Oryzias latipes: one gene and its partners. The protein of the gene in region 1 purifies or fractionates together with the protein of each later gene. This does not show direct contact. Links are inferred from orthologs where the notes say so. Each region holds a gene or a part of one and is shown on either strand. Other genes may lie near its edges.

Evidence for each region. The genes of interacting proteins can lie anywhere in the genome.
Region 2: the proteins of ezh1 (region 1) and phf19 purify together in Homo sapiens (affinity purification with mass spectrometry; 4 studies listed by BioGRID and IntAct, counting the BioPlex papers as one, with this or other methods). This does not show direct contact. The link is inferred for Oryzias latipes from reciprocal best matches to the Homo sapiens genes EZH1 and PHF19.
Region 3: the proteins of ezh1 (region 1) and jarid2 purify together in Homo sapiens (affinity purification with mass spectrometry; 4 studies listed by BioGRID and IntAct, with this or other methods). This does not show direct contact. The link is inferred for Oryzias latipes from reciprocal best matches to the Homo sapiens genes EZH1 and JARID2.

The regions. Positions count from the first base shown.
Region 1 is NC_019866.2:6,663,919-6,672,219, forward strand, and holds the start of ezh1 (histone-lysine N-methyltransferase EZH1), read left to right. Parts: upstream 1-3,457; 5' UTR 3,458-3,792; intron 3,793-4,578; 5' UTR 4,579-4,594; coding exon 4,595-4,762; coding exon of another isoform or gene 4,763-4,768; intron 4,769-4,875; coding exon 4,876-5,001; intron 5,002-5,085; coding exon 5,086-5,208; intron 5,209-6,211; coding exon 6,212-6,329; intron 6,330-6,423; coding exon 6,424-6,654; intron 6,655-7,005; coding exon 7,006-7,108; intron 7,109-7,344; coding exon 7,345-7,508; intron 7,509-7,628; coding exon 7,629-7,720; intron 7,721-7,807; coding exon 7,808-7,970; intron 7,971-8,301. Other genes in the region: ramp2 (receptor activity-modifying protein 2), read right to left, coding at 186-480.
Region 2 is NC_019867.2:31,489,486-31,497,432, forward strand, and holds the start of phf19 (PHD finger protein 19), read left to right. Parts: upstream 1-2,544; 5' UTR 2,545-2,759; intron 2,760-3,146; 5' UTR 3,147-3,147; coding exon 3,148-3,327; intron 3,328-3,415; coding exon 3,416-3,497; intron 3,498-6,105; coding exon 6,106-6,219; intron 6,220-6,567; coding exon 6,568-6,659; intron 6,660-6,745; coding exon 6,746-6,894; intron 6,895-6,969; coding exon 6,970-7,065; intron 7,066-7,137; coding exon 7,138-7,327; intron 7,328-7,449; coding exon 7,450-7,517; intron 7,518-7,595; coding exon 7,596-7,736; intron 7,737-7,836; coding exon 7,837-7,897; intron 7,898-7,947.
Region 3 is NC_019869.2:23,829,308-23,837,612, forward strand, and holds the start of jarid2 (protein Jumonji), read right to left. Parts: upstream 5,404-8,305; 5' UTR 4,873-5,403; coding exon 4,828-4,872; intron 1-4,827.

The DNA of each region.
Region 1 (8,301 bases):
TTTAGTAATGACATCAGGAAATGTGTCTTTTCGTGGGAGGGGCTGCGAGATGGGGGGAGTTGGCAGGAGAAGGGTGGGGGGGACAGTCAGAGAAAGAGGAAGGCACAGGATGAGGACCAGGGAAAGGGGCCCGCTGCAAAGTTTCAGTTGTTTCACAACTTGGAGTTCATGCACAGACCACAGACCTTGCGTGGGGTAAATGACGAACAAATTCGGGACGTTGAGCCAGGTGGGGGGCTGTTTATAAGAAAGGTTTTGGTTAACCTCTAACCCCCAGCCATTGTGGGCCTCCTGTCGACTGCTGTTGACCCCCTGTTTCGTAAAGACCTCCTCCAGAGTTTGTCTTGGCTTCTCATGATAAAAACAAAGAGATGTCTTGGCAGAAAACACCATCTGTAGACTCCGTGTACAGGTTGGTCTGTTCCAGGCCAAACAAATGTTTGGGAAAAAAGGGATCCAAAGCAATTCCTCCGTGGACATATTTATATAATCGTTGGCGGACTAAATTCTAATTAAATTTTATTCATTCATTTAAACTGTTTATTAAAGATTTTGACAGAATTTTACTTAGATCATTATTTTTATAGGTACCAGTACATGAAGCACTCAGTTTCAGGTGCTAAAAAAGTTTGACACTCTCTGATTTGCACAATTTCTGTTCAAGAATATTAAAGAAAAAGGAAATTATTGCTTCTGCTGTCTTGGAATAAAAAACCTCACTTGCTGTTACGTTGGGTTGCAGCCCTGCATCGTCGTTAGGCAGACAAAGCACAGTTCTGTGTCCTTCAGAAAAAAACAATGAGAATATGAGCAATTATAAGAAAATATTCTACAGAGTCATCTAACAACACTCAAAGTGAACTAAACTCTCAATAATAGTTTAGTTTGAGGGGTTAACACATGGTGTAAAACTAGAAAAGGTTAAGGAAGTCCAAAAATTCACTGCATCCTTTCTTTGTCTCCAAGCACACAAAGAAAAAACACCTAAGACAAACATTTCTAAAAAACCTTTTTCCACCTCAACAAAAATATTAACAGTTGTAATGACATTTTTAGTGTCTGTAATTCCATCAGGAATCATAAAAAGGTGTCTTCTTTTTTCATATTTAATTTGCATCAAAGTGAACCCCTCAAAAAACAACATTTTCTTCTACCTTTTGTACAAATATTCAATTAAAAAAAGGGTTTCAAGCGCTCATCTATAGAGAAAAGTTTAAGAATTAAGGAAAAGGCAAGACATGGGTCAGAGAAATCATCTACTTACCACACATGAGAAGTATTATGAAACACCCAGAAAGCACAGGAGAGAATCTGGTGAGTGTCATTTTGTCTGACAACGCTGTGTTCATCTTCCCTGGTGAGTAAGGGTAATGTATCTCAACCTTTCTGCAGGAAGGCTCTATAAAACAACAGGAAGCCCTCATTTCCTAGTATGGGCGGATTCACCAAATGGTGAAAAGGAGTCTGATAGTGTTGGAGCTGCTGTAGCCCATTGTACACCACCATCAGTTTCTCTTTACAAATGTTTCATTCTTTTTTGTTTTAAAAGAACTAAAAAGCATCTTCTGAGAAACTTGAGATTTTAAGATTTTTTTTTTAACATTAATGTCCCAAAAAACATCCAAACAAAAGAACTGAATGTACAGAAGGATTTAGGGTCTAAATTTTTTTACCTTAAAGACAGAAATCCTCAATGTATGTGTGTTGTGCACAGAATGTACTATTTCCTTTCACGCCATGGAACATCATCTGGAATGGTGACAAGCACCCCTTTTCTTCCCACCCTGGATGTTTTGACGTCAGGTTGAGGTCTTGTGGTACACAGAGGTGGCAGGGACACCCTGTTTGAAACTGAAGAGCCTGCTTACGTCATTGAAGGATGAGTCTTCTGTCTCAGCTGCTGCGCTTGGAAAATATCCAGACAGCAGAAGCCAAAATTGTTTCCACATTTCACTTCACTGAGTGTAGGAAATTTCATTTTTTTTCTGCAACAAGTTCTTGAAATCCTTGCAAAGTTCAGATCCATGCATTTGTCTACAAAGAACATGTGTTTTAAATGTGCTCCTTAGAAAGGTAAAAAAAGAAAATCTGACTTACTTTCTTGGCTTGTATTTCATTTGCTTTAAAAGGTAACTTTAATTTATTTTTTAAATTGCTTTAGTTGTAGTTTTTATCAGCTGCTTTAGAAACCTTTTCCTCACCAAGTTTTTGCTCCAGATACTAGAAATGTCTTGTTCCAAATCTGAAGAAACCAGTTGCAATAGAAAGTTCAAAAATCAACAACATCACAAGTTTTAAAAACTGATAATGTCTTCACTTCCTAAATTCAGTTTGTTGTCTTTTGACAGTTCATTATCAGCATGTTGCTAGCAACGGCCTACACTGCTTCTAAATTGCCAAGCGTGCTTTGTTGACTGAAATATGACCACTTTCACAAACCAAAAGCATAAATAATACCCCAAGCGGGTGTGGTGTAACAGTTCAGAGCAGAGAAAAGAAACACAATGTGTTATGTGATGTTAAAAATTGTTGTCTTAATGCATGAGGAGTTAGAAAAGTAAAATTATTCCATGACTGGCAGCAGAAGAGTGCCATCTTGTGTCTCATAGAAGTATTGTCTCAAAATTCGGACGTTTATGAACTTTTATCTCCCAAAATGAAGAAAATAAAATAAATGCACAGAGATTATTTATAATTTATAAAAACCTCCACAGAAGTGATAAAATCCTGGAACAAGATATGATGATGTGTTTTTGGTTGAAATTCTGATTTTTAATGTATGTAAGGTTGAATAAACGATGTGCATTAGTTTGGCTTCAAACATTAAAACCTTTACATGCTATGACAGGAGTCTTTTGTTGAAAATCAAATCATAAACATTTACAAATGAAATAGATCCAAGCACTGCAACAAAACGTTAGACCTGTTATTATTTTTGACTGTTGGAAATGTGATTTAATTAAACTATACCACGCCATTTTACTCGTAGAGTATATAAGGTATTTGAGACAATTTTAGAAAAAGAAAAATAAACAGGTCATTAAATATAATAAGATTGGGCTCCCCCTGCCGGAGAAATGTAAAACAGCAGCTAAATATTTAGACAGGTCCAAAGGAATGTTAGAAAACTGGAGGCTGGTTACCAATTAAGTCTTACCTGAAACTCTCACTTACAGATATTTGTATTCTGAAATGAAAGAAAGACTATTTATATTTGGTTAAAACAGTTTTTGCATTTTTTTTTTTTTGTTTTTTGATCGATTGTTATTTCTATTATAGCCACACAGCCCTATAAATTACACTTTGACCTTTTTTAATTGCTTAATTGTAGATACTGAAATAGATGCTGTATTTCCATTTTAGTTTTTCTATTTTTCACCTTGGTCAAAGAAGAGGGGTCATTCATTCAGATGGTACTTCAAGCAGTTGCATCAGTTCCTGTGCGTGTGCGTAATGGCTGTGCCGTTGCTGCTCCACGCTACTTTTTATTCCTAGGGCGCAGAATAGACATAAATCCCAGCTCCGCTTGGAAGCGCTCTGGTCGCAGTAAAGACGTCACCCTCGTGCTCGGGTTGGTTCAACCAAAGTGCGCAGCTATTTGTACGCTCCAACAACAACCTCCAGCACCATGCGTTTGGATAACGTGCTGCTTTCACGGAGATCCTCTCGCCTTCTGGACTCGATATTTTCGTCTAATCCATAGCACAAACGATTTTTTTTCCTTCTTTTTTTTTTTCTTCCCAACGCCGGGATTTGATCGCGTTGCACCAAAATCGGACGTGGATTTTAAAGGTGTGTGACTGCGACACTGGACGTGGGGATCTGGACGCACACACGCGCGTGTGCAGGAAAACCTTCATTGTAGAGGAGTCAGTGCGCAAGTCTTAAAAGTGTTCTGGGTTTAAATGGACACGGTAGTGCGCCACGGTGCTGTGGCTGCACCCTCAGGACGAAGCCCCGCTGCGTATCTGTGGTGGAAACGTGTTTACGCGTGAAAATCAGACCCACGGCGACAATTTCTGAGCTCCATTTTCATATGCTATTCATCTGTCACTGTGTTCAGCTTGTATCTTTGGGGAAAATGTTTGCAGGCGGTTATGAAACACTAAAAAACAGCGCTACGCACTTTTCTGCTCCGCCGAGGCACGCCCACTCTTTAGAAATGTGGGCTAAAAAACCACGGACTTCGTGCTTGCACGCATGCCTGGACTGTTGGCTTTTTTCCGCGTGTTTCACTATTATTATTTTACCCCAAGTATGGCTATAATCATGGGGTAACCTTGAGATTTTAAAGCACCCTTCAAAAGGGCTTTTTACCAGTAGATGGCAATTTTGTTTTGCGAACAGAGGGGGGCGCTGTTTTGCAAAAACCTGCAGCAGTGGCTTATGGGAAAGTGCAAGTGTTCTGTTTTTTTTAAAACCGCCTTCAGGCTTTGAAGATGGAGGAATATTTATAAAAATGAGCTAAAATGGAAAAATACATAAAAATATTTTTTATAAGAAGCTGGTAACAGTTTGCTTTAACACATTCTTTATGGCAGAATTGTGAGTTGACCTTTGACTCATTTGTTTTGCCAGAGTTTGTCCTGCAGTCATGGAGGAAACAGCACATCCTGCCCCTGGTACCAGTGTTGCCCCATCTCAGCCAAGGCCTCCGCCCTGCACTTTTGCCCCGTCCCGCAGCCTGCTGGAGTGGAGGCGGAGGGTCAAGTCAGAGTATATGCGCCTGCGCCAATTAAAACGCCTTAAAAAAGCAGACGAGGTCAAGGTAGATTTAGAGTTGTGTCAGCATCTTCCATTTGAATACTAATAAAGTACTTTGTCCCTGTTTCTCATTCACTCAAACCTGTGTTTGGATTTCTACTGTTTTTATAGACCCTGTTCTCATCCAACCGGGAGAAGATTGAGCAGCAGACTACTGTCCTTAACTCAGAGTGGTCCACGCTTAAGATTCAGTCCATCCCGCTGTCTGTGTCTAATGTAGCACTGGCTAATAAGAAGGTGATGATGTTTAGAAACTGCCCATATATGAGGAATATTGCTCTAGGTTCTCCAAAATGACTGTTTTTCTGGGTTTTCTTTCAGATGTGTTCGGTGGAGTTTGGTTTCCCAGGATTCAAAGCTCAAGCCATCGCCATGAGGCCACTGTCAACAGTGGCAGGGATCCCATTCATGTACTCCTGGTCTCCCCTGCAGCACAATTTCATGGTATGTGAGTGGTGCAATAACTGGGGAGCAGTTTCAGTCATTTTAACTTACCTTGATAACAATGACTCTCTGATTGGGGTCAAATAAGGATCAGCTTAAACACCCACTCCAACAAAAATTGTCTTTTGGGTGCTTTTAACACGTTCATGTGGCATTTTTCTGAGGGCCACCGCTAGGGATTTTGTGCCCCATGAAAATCATTTTTTACAGGGCCTCTAACACAGTGGCAAATATTTTTTGATGCTGTTTCACATGCAATTATACATTATGAAGACATTTTTCACTATCATTGTCATCTTTGGGACAAAATAACATGACAACTGACATGTAAAGAATGGGAAGAACTGAGCAGTCTCAATACAATATTGAAAATTTAAGTTTCAAACTTGAATGAAAAGAAATATATAACTAAAAGCAACTGAAAAATAATATTTGTTTGTAACAGCTGCTTCATTAGAGGAGAGATGACACCGGCCGCGCCATCAACAGACGCTGTTTCGTAGTGGAAATTATGTTACCAGAATCTCTATCACCACATGTCAATCATGCTCCGGTAGCCAATGGGCTCAAAGCCCCACCCCCATGTCAAATAAGGCTTAATAAAAAGAATTGAGGACTGAAAGCAAAGACAGAGAGAAGCGAAAAAACAAAAGTTGAAAACACAAAACAGCATCTATTATAAACAAACATTTATCATTTGGTAACAGTTTTAGGTTCATAGTGTAGGTGCTTTTCTTTTATATTAAAAGTATAAATTTACTTTTTTTATTTTCAATATCTCCTTTAAGTTTTATATATATATATATATATAGAGAGAGAGAGAGAGAGGATTTACAATCCAATTTTTCATTAACTTTTAGCTGATCCAGATTTGATTGAAACTTTATTTTACCAGGAAATCCCTTGAGATAAAATTTCTTTTTTGAGAGAAACCTGTACAAGAGGCATTGGCACACACTCACACACAGCTCTGAGCCTTGCGTCCTTTTTTGTGTTTCTGAAGGTAGAGGATGAGACGTTCCTCCATAACATCCCTTACATGGGCGATGAGGTACTGGAACAGGACGAGGCTTTCCTGGAGGAGCTCATTGATAACTATGATGGTGTCCATGGTGACAGAGGTTTGTGTTCCGAAACTGCTGTTTTCGTAAAATCTTAAAACGCGAAAGAGGTTGTTGTCAGTTTTTAGGTCATGACATGCTGATTGTGTCCTAGAGGGTGGTTTTATCAGTGACGAGGTCTTTAAAGAGCTGGTGGACGCCCTCAGCCAGTATTCTGACCATGAAGAAGACGAGGAGGAGGAAGGAGCCGCAGCAGCAGCAACAGCCGTGGACGTTACAGAGAAGAAAGATGACGAGAGGATGATGAGAAGGAGCTTAGTGGAAGGCTCAGAGGAGACGAAGTCTGGAGCGTTCATCAGAAGGAAAAGAAGAAGCATGACTGAGGGTGAGTTCTGCGTTGTACGGTATGAACAAGCCTCACACTGTTCATTTTAGGACACGACAACCACCACAAGGTCACCCTGCCACAGCGGCTCCTGAGCTGGCATTGTTGATTTAAAGGTGCCCTTGTTTTCACATGTGGATGCTGTGTTTGACAGAGTCTAGTTGGCTTTTATTACAGGACTGAATGACCTGTTGTTTCAGGACGTATGGGAACTTGGATACAAACAGCTGCTAGTTCTCAAGTACAGGGATTAGGGATTTAGAGATAGAAAATCCTACACTGTGTAAAAGTCTGATGTTAGTTCGAGTTCAGTTGATTTGCTTAACAGTCTTCGCTCTGTGTCTCCAAAAGTGAGAGATTTGTCTGGCAGCAAGAGGATCCCCAGCGATAAAATATTTACAGCCATCGCCTCGATGTTCCCCTACAAAGGCACAACAGAGGAGCTGAAGGAAAAGTAAGAAAAGTGTTTTCAGTTTCAGGGATGTTCGTGCACGAGGCCGGTCAGTCTTTTGCTGAGTCTTCACCATGGAGACATGAGCTGGCAGGAGGGAAAGGAAGAATAATGGCTCAGTCTCAGGCTCTCCAGCTCAAAATAATAGTTGCATCAGCATATGAAAGAGCTTACAAACCTTAAAAGTGACACTGAAGAATTAGTAGGACCGCTAAAGTTTTCCTGTGCACTCTCCACAGGTACAAGGACCTATTGGAGCCCTCCAGTCAAGTGAAACTGCCCCCCCTGTGCACCCCTAACTTAGATGGACCTTTTGCAAAGTCTGTTCAGAGAGAGCAGTCCTTACACTCCTTCCACACTCTCTTCTGCAGACGGTGTTTCAAATACGACTGTTTCCTCCACCGTAATGACTTTTCTTGTCTTTTCTAGTTTTTCTGATAAACATGTTATGATTGGAGTAGCCACAATTTTTTTTGATGTAATAGTTTTCCAGTTTATAATTGTCCTGCCTCTCTTGGTGAAGCTTTTCGTGCTACGCCTAACGTTTACAAGAGGAAAAGTAAGGAGATCCGCATGGAGACAGAGCCCTGTGGGGAGGAGTGCTTCCTGTTGCAGGTGTGTCTGCATAGTCAGTTCATGCATTCTGTGTTTAAGTAATGTTCCTTGTTTCGTGGCTTACAAGGTTCCTTCTTTTTGATGCAGAAAGGGGCTAAAGAGTTTGTGGATCAGAATATGCGAAGATCACAGAGGTCTCGGCGGCGGCGGAGGCAGCAACGTGCTACCAGTTCAAGTTGTCCTGGACCGTCTGCATCTGCGGAGGAGAGCAAAGAGGGCGACAGTGACCATGAAAGCACTTCCTCTTCAGGTAAAACTAGACTTAAAAAACATCCCTTCTTCTTAAGAAAGCATAAAATATCCTCTTTTTTCTTTTTCTTTTTTTTACAAAAATTGATGAAATTACCATTATAATGTATCTCTAGGTCAGAGGTCTGACACGTGAGGCTCAGGAGCCACATGCAACTCCTTTATCCCTACATTATGGCTCTTTTAGTGAAAAGGAAAAATGCTAAAGTACCAAATAAATAATGGGTTAATTTGGTTTTAGTTAATTGAGTATTAACTTTTAACATGTCAAGCAGTGTCTAAAAAACAGTGTCTAGTTGCTGTTCAGAGGCAAAGTTCTCAAAGTAAATAAT
Region 2 (7,947 bases), on another chromosome or scaffold:
CATATGAATTGAAAACGTTTAGCCGATCACCACTAGCTCCATGGAGAAAATGTGTGTGTGTATTATCCTGGGGGCGGAGCTGCCAGCTCTCCCTGAAAGGGACGATTCCCCAATTTGTGATGTCACAATGTAAAGACCCCCTCATAGATTGGGAGGGGCTGGTGCCAAGAGAGCAGGGTTTTAGAGGAAAACTTCGATGCATGAGTGGATCAAAATACCACTTTGGAGTTTCTTCTCATTAGGAATTTACCTTATTGTACACTTAATGGTTAAAAACATTGATTTTGCGTTACTATAGGTCCTTTAACGTTTATAGAAAACATCTCATGGGGTCATTGATGTGTTGTTCACCATTAGACTAAGAATGACCAAACATTTTTACAATAACACAAATCCACCAGGGGGGTATTCCAGGAAGCATGTTTAAACTAGCCTGACTTTAACCCTGAACTCTGGCTGAAATCCGCCTGAACTTGCTTACTCTGGGTATCTCGGTTCCAAAAGACCGGATATGAGTTGGCATAATTACACTCGACTTGGTAACCCTGGGTTAATGCAGGTGCGCCGCATGTACATAAAGACATTCTCAATGGATCGCCGATTTCCGGAGTCACCATGGAAACGCGTGGTGAAAAAAAAGAGAGCGCTATACTTCAGTGAGACGGAGTCTGAGATTTTAATGACGGCGTAGGAAGAATATACGTCCATCAAAAAAGTAACACGGCTGCATCATCAGCAAAAGAAAAAGTTTCTGCTTGTTGTAGTAGAAGAACAGACAAAGTAAACGGACGAGTTTCTGATCTTATTTCCATTTTCATGTGACGCATATATATATATATTAGTAATTAATATTGCGATAACGATATAATTTGCGGTATATAAACAATTAGCAAAACAACCAAAAATATGATTCCCATTCCATTACAACAGCTTAAAAATTATACTAGAAATGACCCTTGTTGACATAGGAGGCGAACATACAACATAATAGGGCGCCATCCGATTAGTTAACGTGAAGGGGTCCATCTGATTGGTCAAATGCAGAAAGGGATTCTTTCGATCCATTAAACACTTCAAGCTGCCATAAGATTGTTTGGCCACATCTAAGGTAACCATTTATTGCAAATTTGCTGTCTTTTGCGATATGCATATTGCACAGCTAGAAATTGCGATAACGATAAATTTGCGGTATATTGTGCAGGCCTACTTCTATTGGTAACAAGTAATTGAGTTAAATTTATTCAACCTAATTTCTTACGTCTATAAAACTCAATAGTTGTTAATACAACTCAAATTTACATATTTATTTAACTAAATGTCATATTACTCTAATTAAAGTAATTTTTTTTTCCTTCGTAATGAATTAAAATTCTTGAACTCTCATATGTCTAAATTTGAGCCGGCAGATCTTCATTTTTATAACAATAAAAAGAACAAAACAGTATAACCTGCAAGCTTTCATTCATTTAGAAATTTTCCAACATTATTAATATACCAGCTGACTGTAGGGGAGCTATATAAACTCATCATCCTCTCCCTCCCTCTCCCTCATGGTGCAGAGACCTGTGCAAAGTAGGTCAAAATAACTCGGCAAAACAGGGTAAAACACAGTAAAACAGCAAAACAACTAAACACATTTGGTCAAAAACCCACACTTAAACCCAAATCCGTCCAGACAGGCAAAGGGAATGGTATCCCACAATCCCTTGCAGTGCCGATCTAACAGCAGCACCAAAGTTACACCTACTTCATTGAATTAATTTGAATGAAAGTAAAATAACTGTCTGAAAACTACGTGTTATTTTTAAACTGACTTAACAAATAAAACGATTTTTAATTATCTTAACTGAAGCAAATAATTAAGTTAGATCAAAGTAAAAAAGTTTCTCTTTCCAACATCCATATGTGGTCTTATCACCCTCTCATGGTGGAAAAAGTATTATCTGAGCTTCTTCATCCACTAAATCATCTTCAAATGGACACGCCATGCTGCTTCACCTCTCTGAAAACAAACTAACCTTCAACTAAACCTGCTCCAGACCAGGTTATGTTCAGAGCATGAGTTGCCATGGCAACTTGACATACCCTGAAACATACCTCCATTTCTGGAACCGAAAGCTGAGGTTATCCACTTCCTTAGCCTCAAACTTACCGTGGGAGCTAGCAGAACCTGCTCTCTGGAATACCCCCCTGTTCTTTTTCTGCAATAACAAACATTTTGATCAAACTCGTTCCAGCATCATGTATGCGCAGGCGCGACAGAGAGAGGGGGGGCTCTTAAGGTATAAACCTGGACAGTATGACTGCTGCCAATTAAATATTGGCGGATCTGCTTCTTTGAGTTCTTGAAATTATACATCTATTCCTTAAATAAAACTTGTGCTCGCGCAGCCTCTTCCTAGACTCACAACGGCGCTCACCTCGATATTAAAATCAGTGAAACGTTGAAAGGGGCTCCGGCTGCAGCCGCGCAGCAGCGTCATGACGTCATCACGCACACGACGCTGGTAGAAAAAAAACCCATCCTCTGATTCGCGGGAAAATGAAAAAAATGGCGCCGGCGAGAGTTTGAAGCTCGGAGCCGCCAAACGGAGGCAGAGGGAGAGGAGAGGCACAGAAAACGAGGGACGGCGGGACACTGCTGCCGCGCCAGAGGTTCGGTATCCCCGTTCGTCCGTCCGTCGGGCTGTTACCGGGCCGAATCGGGCTCCGAGCTCCAAAGGACTGAGAAGGGCGTGATTGGATCCGCCAGAGAAGAGGTGAGAAGATGCCCTGCGTCCTTCAGCAGGTCTGGCCCGCCCGGCTCAGCCTGCAGGGGAACTGTCTGGCGTCAGCGTGCATTTATATATGCAGAACCGGTGCTGGTACCAAAACGTTTTAAACATTTAGTGATGCATGACCCGCCAGCATGCTTCGGGAGTTTTCCGTTAGTGTGAGCTGTCACGGATGTCAGGGTGCGGTAGTTTATGCGGTTGTAGGTCAGGTAAGGAAATTAGATGGGAGGATGCAGTGCGCATGCTCTGTGGTGTCAAAACCGCACAAACAGTTCAGGAATGAATCACAGCCACTAACGGCCTGTCTCTCTCTCTCTCTCTGTTCTAAACCAGCGTCTCTCTCCCTCTGTCTCTCCATCCATCTCTTTGCAGGATGTTTGAGGACTTGATCGAAGCTTTCTGCGGTCTGGAGCCTCAGGTGTCTCCTGGGGGCGAGGGGAGCCATAGTGGGACATTGGCAGAGGTGGAGGGGGCAGAGTCCAGTCTGAGTGTGGGGCAGTTTGTGCTTTGCCATTGGTCAGACGGACTGTACTACCTAGGAAAGATACAGAGGGTAAGGTTTGGCTGCAGACTCACCTGTCCGTGAACGCGGGGACTCTTCTGTTCTTATTGGCTGCTTTAAGCTTTTTACCTTCTGACAGGTGAGCCCCCCCAGACAGAGCTGCTTCGTCACATTTGAGGACAACTCCAAGTTCTGGGTCCTCTTGAAGGACATCCAGCATGGTGAGTCAGGCGGGCTCACCAAATGCTTGAAGCAGCCTCTAGATGCTCTCTGTGTGACTGAAGGATGTTTTCATTAGCGCCGCCACATTTAGAGATCATTTTCTGATTTATTTCTAAAGCGTTTGCAGTGGTCTTTTAATGCTGATGCTGCTGCTGTTTTTAGCCAAAATCGACGTTTTCTAAGACATAGTTTCTGCAGAGCGGCAGGAAATCATTAAAACTACCGGTACACGTCTTAACTGTGACTGTTGGTGCAGAGCAGCCCCGCCCCCCTTCCCCTCCCTCCCTGTTGCTGTCCAACAGGGAGGGCTGCATTTTTTTCTTCTTCTGGTTCACAGTGATGTGAAAGGAAAAATAAAATTCAAAAGTGCAATTTTGGGCTCAATTTTCTTTATAAATGTCATCCATCATCAGATAAAAATGCTCCAAGAAAATCTTAAAGGAGCCAAAAATACAGTTTTTCAACTGAGTGAGTCTTTAGTACGGTGGCCCTGAAGGGCAGATCACCTCACTCCACACAAAAAATGTCAAAATCACAACAATAACCATAGCAAAACAAATATTAAAAAACAGCATTACATTTGAGAAAATAAAACTAAATTTCAGAAACGTAAAAAATAAAAAACCTTTTAGAAAAACCAAAGTCATTTCCAGAAACGAGATAAAATGTTAGACAAATGAAACACATTAAGCTTAAGCGTAGGAACTCTGGGACGTCACTGATTGATTTATTTTTTCAAACGTGCCTTCAATGGCCCCACGCTTTTATGATTAGTATGGAGCATATCCAGAATCGCTCTATGCTAAATAACTTTGGGTTGAACAGACAGACAAATCCAATCAGCGATATCCCATAGTACATACCTTATCCAGTTTCTCCCTCGCCGCGTTTCCGTTAGGGCTGTGACGATAACCGCATCACCACGGTAATGAGATTATCACCGTGATCATCTCATCACCTTGTTGTTTTTTTTTTTGAAAGCTCTGCATATGGTGCGGGATTTGAACTATAATAAACACATTCATCTTTGCTGATAATTTGTTTTTTCTGTGAGTCCTGTGTTCAAACTTCAAGAGCTTCTGGGGGAATTTCTATTGTATTCATTTCCATTACAAGCTGCGTGCGTTCTTGAGTAGTGTGCGTCACGACCGCCTGCCAGAGGATTGTGTGTGTGTGTGTGTGTGTGTGTGTGTAGGGGAGGGGAAGCAAGAGTCCCGACACCGCGACTCCTGCTGCTTCATCACGGCGGTGATCAAAATCCCTCACTGTCACAGCTGTACTCCAGAGCAGGTTAATAAAGAATCAGTCACCGTTCTTCTGGGGGAAACCTTTCATTACTGTTCTCCTTCACTCCTAACACCAAGCATGAACGCGCGCACACCCCCAACACGCTTGTGCACTCTCACTCACTCTTTTGCTGCTCCGCTCCTTCCTCTTACACACGCAGCGCGCTGACACACACACACACACTCATTCTACAACACCTGTATACCTTAATTTCTGGACTATAGAGCGCACCTGGTTATAAGCACCATTACATTTTTAAAGGATAGAACATTTTGTACATACATAAGCCACACCTGTCTATAAGCCGCATGTGGCCACATTGAAACATGTGTTGTAGAATGAGGATGTTTGTGTGCTGAAACCACACGCGTGTGTAAGAAAGAGGGGGGAGCGCGTGCAGCAGAAGTGTGTTGGGGGTGTGCGTTCATGTTTGATATACAGAGTGAAGGAAAACTGTAATAACAGAAGATTCCCCTCCAGAAGAATGGTGAATGATTCTTTATTAACCCGCTCTGGAGGCTCTGAAGGTCCGAACAGGGAAGTGAACCCCGAAGGAAGATCCGCCTTCAGCGGAGAGGATCTCCCTGCATTTTCAGACCACCGTCAGAAAGAAAAAAAGTAATGCTGGAAAGTTTCAGCACGTGATATATTTCCAAAGAAAGATGGTACACAGGAAGAGTTTTCAAACTTTTAATAACATACTTGAGCTTTGCTTCCAAACAGTGACTGTAACACTGCAGTAACACGGCAGTAACAGCACTAACAGGGCTGGTTAAACAAACATACCAGTAAAAGTCATTTTGAATGCTTCCTTTTGTTTTTGTTTTTTATTTGTGTTTTGGTTTCTGAAATTATGTTTAGATTTTCAAAATGTAACACAGTTAAAATTATTATTATTTTCTTTTTAATTGTGGTTGCGATCTTTAAAATGTGTTTGCGTGGATTGGATGACGCGATTCGTCGACTTCAGGGCCACCGTACTTTAGTTCAGATGGAACTAGCTTTCAGTCCTGACATCAACTGTTGAAGCATTCCTGAACGCTCACTTAACTGTCTGTTGCTGGAGCAGCCATCAGTTTGAATATTTCTGTAATCGATACACACTGTTTAAGCTTTCAAATGAATCTCTGCTCCAGCAGGGTGTGAGGACGTCAGTCGTTTTCAGGTGTCCTAGAAGATGGTTGCCAAGGAAACATCAAGTTCCTCGTGGAGCTTCTCTTTCCGTTTTTAATCAGTCACAGACAGGAGAAGATCCTTCATGCTGACATGTGTGATGCCCTGAGTTGTTATGTCACGTGCTTCTGCCTGATCACGTTTCAGCTGGAGTGCCAGGGGAGGAGCCTCGCTGCTCTGTGTGTCGCAGGGCGGAGCCAGACTCTGACGGCCAGCCTAAGGTCAACAACCAAATCCTGATTTGTGGGAAGTGCGGCATCGGTGAGCATGGCGTTGTCTGAGTTCACACCTTCACATCTGTAGAAGGGGGCGACGTGTTCGGTGGGCGCTCTCGCCAAATCCTAAAGTTAGTGTAGGTCTCTGCGCCAGCCCACAACATCAGTGCGAGTCTGTGCAGGTGAACACACCTGAAGGAGGCGATGCTCTGGTTTACCTGCTTCACATCATTCATGCTGACATGGGAGTCAGTGGGAAATTGCTTGCTTTAATAGACCTGGTAGTCATTTGAGAAACGTCTTGTGTTGGCTTCACTTTGGGGAGTAGTATCACATGATCCCATGTTGATCCAGTTAACCTGGTCATAAAATCGCCTGTCTCTGTGTTTGCCAGGCTTCCACCAGCTGTGTCACATTCCTCCAGTAGAGGGCAGCAGCCTGAGCCCTTGGTTCTGCAGACGTTGCGTCTTTGCTCTGGCTGTTCGGGTAACGCCTCTTCCCAGTGCTGCATCAGCATGTTCCCACAATCCCCCTCTCCGTTGTCCCTGACCCGTTCCCTGTCGTCCTCGCAGAAAGGGGGCGCTCTGAAGAAGGGGCCGATAGCCAAAGCTCTGTGTGCCATGAAGCAGGTCCTGTCCTACAAGCTGGATTCCTTGGACTGGGACTCTCAGCATCGGACCAATCAGCAGCAGTGTTACTGTTACTGCGGAGGCCCTGGAGAGTAAGGCCGACCGCCCGAGAGACCGGCGTGTTGTGAGTGCCAGGTGTTGTCTGACTGACGTGTGTGCGTGTGCAGGTGGTACCTGAAGATGCTGCAGTGTTTCAGGTGTCAGCAGTGGTTCCACGAGGCCTGTACTCAGTGTCTTCAGGAGTCCATGATGTTTGGAGACAGGTGATCCTTCCTGCCCCCCCCCCCTGCTCCGTCCTCCTCTGTGTTCATGCTAAGGGTCTGCTGTCCTTCCAGGTTCTACCTCTTCCTGTGTGCGGTGTGTAACAAGGGCTGCGAGTACATCCGCCGTTTGCCCCTCAGGTGGGTGGATGTGGTTCACCTGGTTCTCTACAACCTGTCAGTCAGCAGCAAGAAGAAGTACTTTGAGCTTGATGAGATTCTGGCCTTCGTATCGACCAACTGGGACCACTTGCAGCTCGGAAAGGTAAACAGCAGAGGAACCGAAGAGACGCTGAGCTGAACCAGAATCTGATTCTGATTCTGATTCTGATGTGATCCTGCTTTGAGTTGTGGTGTTGGTTGTCAGCTCTCTTCTTATTTCTTCAGCTGTCTAACACTCCTCCTGCAGACAGGGGGCAGCACCTGCTGGATGCTCTCAATAACTACAAGAGCAAGTAAGTACCGACCCCGCCTTCCTGACAGTTCATCTGTGCGTCTGCCGATCCAGTAAGTATCTACATGCGTGTCCTCAGGTTCCTATGTGGGAAAGAAATCAAGAAGAGGAAGTGCATCTTTCGTTTGAGGACCCGAGTCCCGCCCAACCCCCCCTCCAAACTCTTACCCGAGCATGCTCTGCATGACGGGGGGCGGGGCCGGAAGACGACCTCGGTCAGGTAGATTTTTTTTTTTTAACTTTCAAGCTACCTGGAATCGTTTTTGGGATGCTTGGGGGTCGTGGAAATCCATCTTTGTGTTTTTGTGTTTTTGCTTCAGTAGTTCAGCTGAAAGGAAGAGGAGAAAATCCAAGTGGCTTCTGGAGGATGCTATCCCTAATGTAAGCCGCCTCTTTCTCTAAACCCTTAAAGGAGAGTCTTTGTGCTTGAG
Region 3 (8,305 bases), on another chromosome or scaffold:
CCCCGACGATGTCATCGTCCATCCCGATGGTTGACAGCAAACATCGTCAACGGCCAATTTAAGGGACATCGCCCAACCCTAGTAGTCACGGTAGCATTCGTCTCAGCTGTATCAGTCTGTTTTTTTGTTTTTACAAGTGTTCCAAACACGGTTGGGAGTTACAGGTATTGTGAATTGGCTAACTTGGCTACTGTGTAGTATGTTACAAACAAGAATTACTGTGAGCGTAGTTAAGAAAGTCATTCTAGCGTCTCTGACTCTTGGCTCGCTTAATTCGCCTTCCAGTCCAATGCATCATTGATGGTGCGCCTTATAATGCAGTCCACCCTATAGAGTGGTAGAAATGGCAATGATTACATTCAGACCCATCTCGGTTAATGCCGAACGCCACATATGGGCTTCCTTAAAGTCCGTGTGGCTCAAGCAGAGACAAAGCCAAAGTGTTGATTCAGCTTCACAGGGATACGGAACGGATAAGCCGTGGCAAGCGCTTGCACACGTGCGTGCACGCATCCATGAGTGAGCGTGTGTGCACAGACGCACAAACACAAGCACACAGCCTCTCAGGGCCTGACCAGCTGTCTCCCTCTGCCCATCTCCATCCAAACCAGCAGGAGAAAGAAGAGATAAATCACTTGAACCGAGCCGAGCAAGCACAAGTGGTGTACGTGACACGAACACCCGCCCCAACTGAACCCAGTCCAAACCCGCCCCCGTGTTAACTATTGGAGCACAGACCGTTAAAATAAAAAGATTAAAAAACAACACCAAAAAAAAAAAAAAGGCGCACACCTACACAGACTTTCACACAGAGCTCATAAAGTCAAAGCAAATACCACATATGCCAGAGAGTCACACCCAGATTTACGTCATTACTCCTGCAAATGACCTAAGCTGCTGATATCTAGGTGATACCAACCAATGCAAACCAGTCTGGCTCACCTGACTACAGGTGAACACGCAAAGCTTTTGTCCACGGATGTGTGTGTGTGTGTGTGCACGCATGGCAGGGAGATTGTGCTCAATGCCAACAGCTGATAAGTGGAAAGGGTATATTGCATAAGACTCATGTTTGCTGTGGGTGACACAATGTATGAAAAACGGATACGGGGGGAAAAAAAGAGGCAGAGCAAAGAAAAAAAGAAATAGTTTCACCAGGATGTTGAATATCTTTGTCCACTCTGGATAGAGAGCAGCTGAGAAGTTTCTTTAAAAACACAAACCAAAGTTTTTGCTGTGGTAAAGCCCAGCTGAGTGAGAAGGGATGTAAAACCTGAGAAGGCCAGTTCTTCCACTTCACAGTACACACCAAAAAGTGTCGCAAATTTGCAAAGACGGATGAAGATGATCTGTATACTACACCTATAGGGTGTCTTTTCCACAAACTTATAGTTTCTCTCTCTATTTTTGTTGACAGCCCATTTTAATCAGTGTGGTTACCAAATAGACCATAAAAGATCCACAGGAGGAGGCACAGAACAGCAGGCGTGGATAAGACTTTTTTTTAAGTGTTGTTCATATTTGCTACGTGGAATCCAATCAAGGAGCAGTAAAAAAAAAAAAAAAAAAAAAAACGTCGCTCTTCACCGCACCGCGCTTCGGGTTTGAGCTCTTCCATGTTGCACACACGAGGACCAGGGAGATCATGATAAAAGAATTTGCATTAAAACAGAAGGTGAAATGAAGCGGACTGCAGCTAAAGCGTGGTGAAAAAAAACAACAACCTTGTGACCCCCCTCACGTCCTTCCACCAGCCCCACATTTCATTCGGACAGCCAAGAACGAAAGGAGCGAGATGGAGAGATGCAAAGAGAAGGAGGGGGTTAGATAGAGAGGAAAATACAGAGAAGGGGTGGGAGGGGGGGTCTTTGCCTATGCACTCCCCATTCTCTCTATTTTTGTTTCTTCTTTTTGTGCAGGCCCAGCACACACACTCGCAGTGCAGTGGATTTTCAACTTGGCCCTCATCAGTTGTGAGTCTGATGAAACAAACACTGACAGCCTCTTTACATTTGTAAAGGTCTCTGCAGCAGCTGGTTCGTCCCACACACACACCCACACACATACACACACACCCTTTGAGTCGGAGGCCTGGCCCCAGCTGGGGCCTACAGGAAGAGCCGACTCTGCACAAAATGGCCCTGCCCGCGCAGCGCTGCACTCGCCCTCTGCTCACACACTCAAAAGTGTGTGTCATGTTTCGTTAGACACAACAACACAGCCACGCATTAGAGCTTAATAGTCATTACACAATCTTTACCCCCCTTCAACCGCCGAAGAGCAGAAACAAAGGTGAGCCGATACCCTCCAAAAGGGACCGCCGGGGCGCCCAAGACCTGCTCACATCCTCGTTTGTGACCCTGGTGGAAAAACGATTACGGCCAAGCCCCGTTTGCTTTTATTAGGGGTCTCCTCCACCCCCATTTTAAATCATTTTATGACTGATGAATTTTAATATCAGTTGTCAACAATGCGTGCTTGTTGGGTACAGGAGGTGGGGGTGAATGGGGGGCAACAACTCACACTTATGTTTCAGGGGGGAAATGGTTGAGCCAAGCATGTCTAATTGTCTTACGCTAATTAGGGGGCCGTAAAGGAGGGGGAGGGGGTCACTAAGGGTCATGTCTCAAAGCCTGGAGGGTTTACAAGAGGACCAGAACTTCTCTGGGTTGTTGTAAAAAATAAAAATAAAATACTTTCTTAAAGGCTTATTTTGGTCTGGACCAGACGTAATGGATCAGCCGCAACTGCTGAAAACACATGACAGATGTGACACATGCATATATATTCAGAACTGAAATGTGTTTCCTGTGCTTAAGCTGCACAATTAGCCAACTTTAAGTCTCAACACTAGGCAAATTAGGACTTGACGCCAAAAGCTATACGTTTATTCCTAAAAAAAAAAAACATGAAAGTCCATGGCTCCATTCTAAACCAGGACTTTTATTTGATTGAGTCACTATTTCCACAACATCCTGCTTTCTCGGCCCAGAGTTACTAGAAAACAGCCCGATTGGGTGAAAAAATGTGAGCAGGCGAGGCCTCTTGTTGCAACATCACTACATGAAACTGCATGGTCAGAAAAAGATCACAGCTGAGTCAGTGCTATGACTAAAAGAAATGACTGCTCTGCTACTTTCACTGGCATTTCAAAAATCCCAGATATGGACCGTTTCCCATCAATAAAAGCAGGTAAACTGGCACCAACATGTTAGAAGTAAAATCATCATCAGTGGAATGCAGATAAGGATGCATTTGCATGAGTCGTCCTTGCTGGTAATTGAGACAAAATATACAACCAAGCTTCCTATTAGGAACCAATAAAACTAAAATACTCTGAAAAAAAATCTTTTTTTTGCATCTATGGATAAGAATTCAATTCGTTTTGGGGGGTTTTATTCGTGGATTTTAAACGCCCACATGGGGAACTATTTTCTTTATGAGCCACTCCGCGTGTCGTTTTGTTGAGGTCACTGCGGGGGGGGGGGGGGGGGGGTCTTTGAGTTCTGCTGACTTAATGGGGCTTTTTAAACAATACATGTTGTCCGTTTGGGTCAGCAATCATTACATCAGAAGTGCAATAAACTTCTCGTGTAAAGTCACGGACTCTGATCCGAAATTTCAAAAAATATATAATAATATATACGTGTATGAGTCATGCGGTGGGCTCGGGTTAAAACTAGCCGAACTACTTTTGAACCCCCAAAAAGGAGCATGGAGCAGCCCTTCCCATCAAACTCAGCGATACTCGGACAAAAAAGAAAATGGTCGCTACATACATAAGCCTCTGCAATGCGACTGAACACAGACTCTTAAAAAAAAAGGAGGGGAGTGGGAGAAGACTGGGTCATTTAGGAGCACCGCGTTCAAACAGGCCGACCGAGCGGCGTTCCGTTCGGCAGGAATTCAGCCGTTGAGGTCGATACCTAAAAGGTTGGCAAGCTAGCCTTAGTGCTGAAAAAAATGGAGTTGCCCCCTCACCGAGCGGCACCTTCACAGAGGTCACAGCTAAAATACCGGCAGCCTGTCGCCCGTCACCTGGTCGAGAGGGTAATAGGCTAAAAACATATATAAACCCCAAAAAGAAAGTAACCTTCGTCGTGTAACGTGATAGAAATTGGGTGAGAATGCGGATTCGCGTAACCCCCCTTCCCTTCTGCGCTGCCTCACTCTTTATGGAGGAAATTAAAGAGCCGCCACAGCATGCAGTCAGTCCCCCCCACCACCACCACCAAAAAACGACACCTATTTCACCCTAAACGTGAATTATATACACATTTAGAGATACGACAACGCCTCTGATTTGGCCGACCTAGTCCTCCAGCAGCTCGGTTACAAGCCGAGATGAAACGCTCAGCATGGGACGAAATGGAAGCCGAGCTATGGCCGACAGGCTCGTCTGCGCTGCTTCGAGTAGCAAGAAGCGAGGGGGTCGAACAAAAGCCCAGTTTTCTGAGACCCTCCGTCTGACCACGGCTCTCCATCCACGACCCCCAAAACACGACCCAGGAGACGCGTTGCCTCCCGCTGTCGCGCGTGAAAAAACCGAGTCGAAACGAGCGAAAAGCAGCCCGTGTTCAGATAGCATAAAACATGGGGGGGTGGGGGGGTATCGAAGAATAAACACGAGCTGCACCTTTAAATTCACGGCCAGATCCGCGCTGACACGCCGACAAAAGCTCACATTTAATGGAAACAACCCCACAAAGCTGCCTGACGGTAACCTTCACAGCCCGCGATGAAAGTTTGTGCATTTTCATCGAGGCGAGCCGAGCGAACTTGAATACAGGAGCTGCATTTAGGAGGAAAAAAAGAGGGTTTACTTACATATTTCTTTTGAATGATATTCCTCTTAGGTCTTTCCTTGCTCATTATGCAATCCCACCCAAAAAAAATGTTTGGCTATAGAGAGAATGGCCACATGAATTTCTTCTTTCTTTTGACTCTCGCCTCTCCCGGAGCTCTCCGCCAAATGACGATTTAAATCCCCGGCTCGGTCGGAAAAGCTCGCTGGCCGTAGGCTGCAGGAATCCTCCGGCGGTGTTCTCTCCTCGGAGAAGTCGGAGCTAAATCCCCACGATTCAAGAGTCGACGACGGACAGAGACGGACTGGACCCAAACTTACTTGGGGGTAACATAGTCAAAACAAATGCACAACAATAACTTCCATTCGCCCGAACAGCTCGGCCACTCTGCGCACCCGCTCGTCTCGAAAACATGCAGATAGCCGAGGTTAGGTCAGCAAGTCACATCCTGCCCGGTATGACATCGTGAGAAAGCAATAAATAAAAAGAGAAAAATAAAAAAACAAAACGTTAGGAATCGCGGTGTTTCTGGCTGGAGCCCGCAACCATCGACAGAGCTCTCCAGCGGCACTGCTCTGCTGACTGAGAGCAGCTCCTTTCTTCCCCGGCCTCCGCCTCTCCGCCTATCACGGAGGCGCACGAGCGCGGAGCGGCAACTTCAAAGTCCCGGAGAGACAGCCCTCGCGAGCTGGCCGCTTGTTTCGTTCCCCCGTGGGGCGTTTGTTAAAAAATGGGATGGAAAAAGGAGAATCCATCTCTATATGTAGTCTATTTCGTGTTTTGGTTTGAAAAATGTACCACAGCAAGTAAGGGAATGTGGGTATTTCTGCATAAGGGTGTTTTGTCTACAGCAAGCATGTCCAAAGTCCGACCCATAGGCCAAGTGCGGCCACCGGCCCACAGGCTTCTGTCACAAAATCAATATTATGCAGCCCCCAGCAATTCTGAGAACTACTTCTGAATTGTGACTGGCTAGAGCCAATGGAAGCTTAAGGATACAAACAACCAGTAGCTACATGGGCGGCCATGGTGCAGTGGTAGGGTGGTCGACCTTGGATAGCAGGTTTGATTCCCACCCATGTGTCCCACAACTGCATGTTCCTTACAATTGGGTTATCGTTTAGAAGGGAGACAAAGAGGCTTTTCAACAGTGTAACATTTAATTCCAAGCATTGCTGGAAAACATAACCCACCAAACACAATTTCCGCCCATGTGTCGTAGTGTCCTTGGGCAAGACACCGAACCCTACCTTGCCTCTGGTGCAAGGTTGGAGCCTATGGAGTTCAGTGTGTGAATGGGTGAATGAGTTTGTGACTGGAAAGTGCTTTGGGCCATCGAGGAAGGTAGAAAAGTGCTATACAAGCTTACGTAAATTTACATGACTTTCAGAACCTTAAAGCTCCACTCGGATCATCTTTTGGTCTATTGCATGATCGCTGCCTGTGGACTTTTGTTATGGTAATGCCGTTTTTAGCACCAAAAAAAAATGGAGCTATGTCCGAATTCTTCAATACTCACTATATACTGTGTTCGAGATTTTGTAGTGCTGTCCGAATCTACAATTCCAAAACCAATTGCCCTACAAACTTCCCAGAAGTCTCTGCCAGTGTGGATTAATGCTCACTGGATTGCAAATATAGACCACAATGCATTGCGTTTGAACACTGGTTTTTCACAGATACTTCTAGGAAGTTTCTGGGCCACTCGATCTTGAATAGTGAAGGAATTCAGACACAAAATTGTAAGGAAGTTCCGAATTCACATTTTACTGAAAATGTCAAAACAGAAACTGGCAAACAAATGTAGCGGTGGAATGGTAACCCTATTCGCTGGATACTAACGGGTCAAATCAATTTCAATCCGTTTTTATTTTTAATCTCTGCAATATAAGAAGTAGAAAAACCTCTTGAGGTGGAATGCTAATGCATAAGTACCAGCAATTGTGTTTGGTGGGTTATGTTTTACAGCAATGCTTGGAATTAAATGTTAAACTGTTGAAAAGCCTCTTTGTCTCTCTTCTAAACGATAACCCAATTGTAAGGAACATGCAGTTGTGGGATTAGCAGCCAAGATAAGTACGTGCATGAACAGTTTGCCAAATTTCTCCTTTTAAATGTGCACCATTTAAACAGAAGTTTAAAAATGTTTTCTAAATGGTTCCCGAGAAGCACTATGAACAGAGAAATTATCTACAACACACATGTTCCTACTTTTTGTGGTTCATTATGTTAAAATTAGTGATTCAAACAATGTATTGCATTTTTTCTAAAAAGCCAATTAACATGCACAGTAAAGATCATTATCTAAATTCTCTAATTATCAGATTTAAGCAAATAAATAGCATGATTATGATTTAAACAGCATTATCTCATAACCGTTATCTGATCATGTCTGTGTTCTGATTTAGAAAAATCTGAAAAATACACCAAGGTTTCTTGTGAAGAATCAAATCTTCTCCTGAAGGTTAACATATCTGATGAATTCTGTTTTTTCACATCTGAAAATGTGGAGGGAAAGGTAAAAATAATGATAACAAATGTCAGTGACGCATTTACAGCCACTTTGCCTGCAGTTCTAGATAGCTGTTGTTGAAAGAGAGAAACAAACAGGAAAAATAAACTATTTAAATGGGCAATAAACAAAAGAAGTGCCCACATTTGCATGCAAAGGAATCCCCCCCCCCACACACACAGACACACTAACATTGTATTCAAACAATCTCAAACGGTATAGTTAATTTATTAATTACAGAAACTTCTCATCTTGAAAACTTTATTTCTCTATATGAATGACATTTAAAAAAATAATTCTTACATTTACCTAAAAGGGGCCTTTAATTTTTGCATCATTTAGGTTAGTCTGATTTCATATTTTGTATCCTTAGAAGAAAAAACAAATGACACAATCATTACAATAACTGTTTGGTGGCTTGTCTGCTTGGGAGCCTTTATGGGACCAAAAGGTATAGAAAAAAATTAAAAAAAAAGAGTTCTCTGACTTCTACAAGTGCTTTCACCTTTTTTATACATCTAACTTACAGATTCACAATGCACTGTACCTTCTTTATTCCCATTTATTCACATTCACACTGGCAAATTTGAGTCACACCAGGATTCCTTTCATTTCGAATAGTCTTCATTTTGCAACCGGAAAACCTTTGTCATAGTTAAAACAAATGAACCTGGGTCAGCTTGAACTCTCAACTCACGTGTTGATAAGATTTTTGTGCGTTAGAAGTAGCAAGCAACAAGAGATCTCATGTGGAAATTTGAAAAAGTGTAAATAATGAAAAACATTCAAACATATCTGGTAGGAACACATGGTGTAGGGGGGGGGAGTTTATTAATTCAAGATAGAGGGCTAGATAAGCTTTTTTTTTTCTTGGTTTTATTTTAAAATTAAAGATTTTTTCTGCAACCCATTGACCATTTTGTTATTTTGTTTGCTCAATGGAGCAGTTATTGTGAAAGTAAACTAAACCAACTGAAGGTGTAAGAAT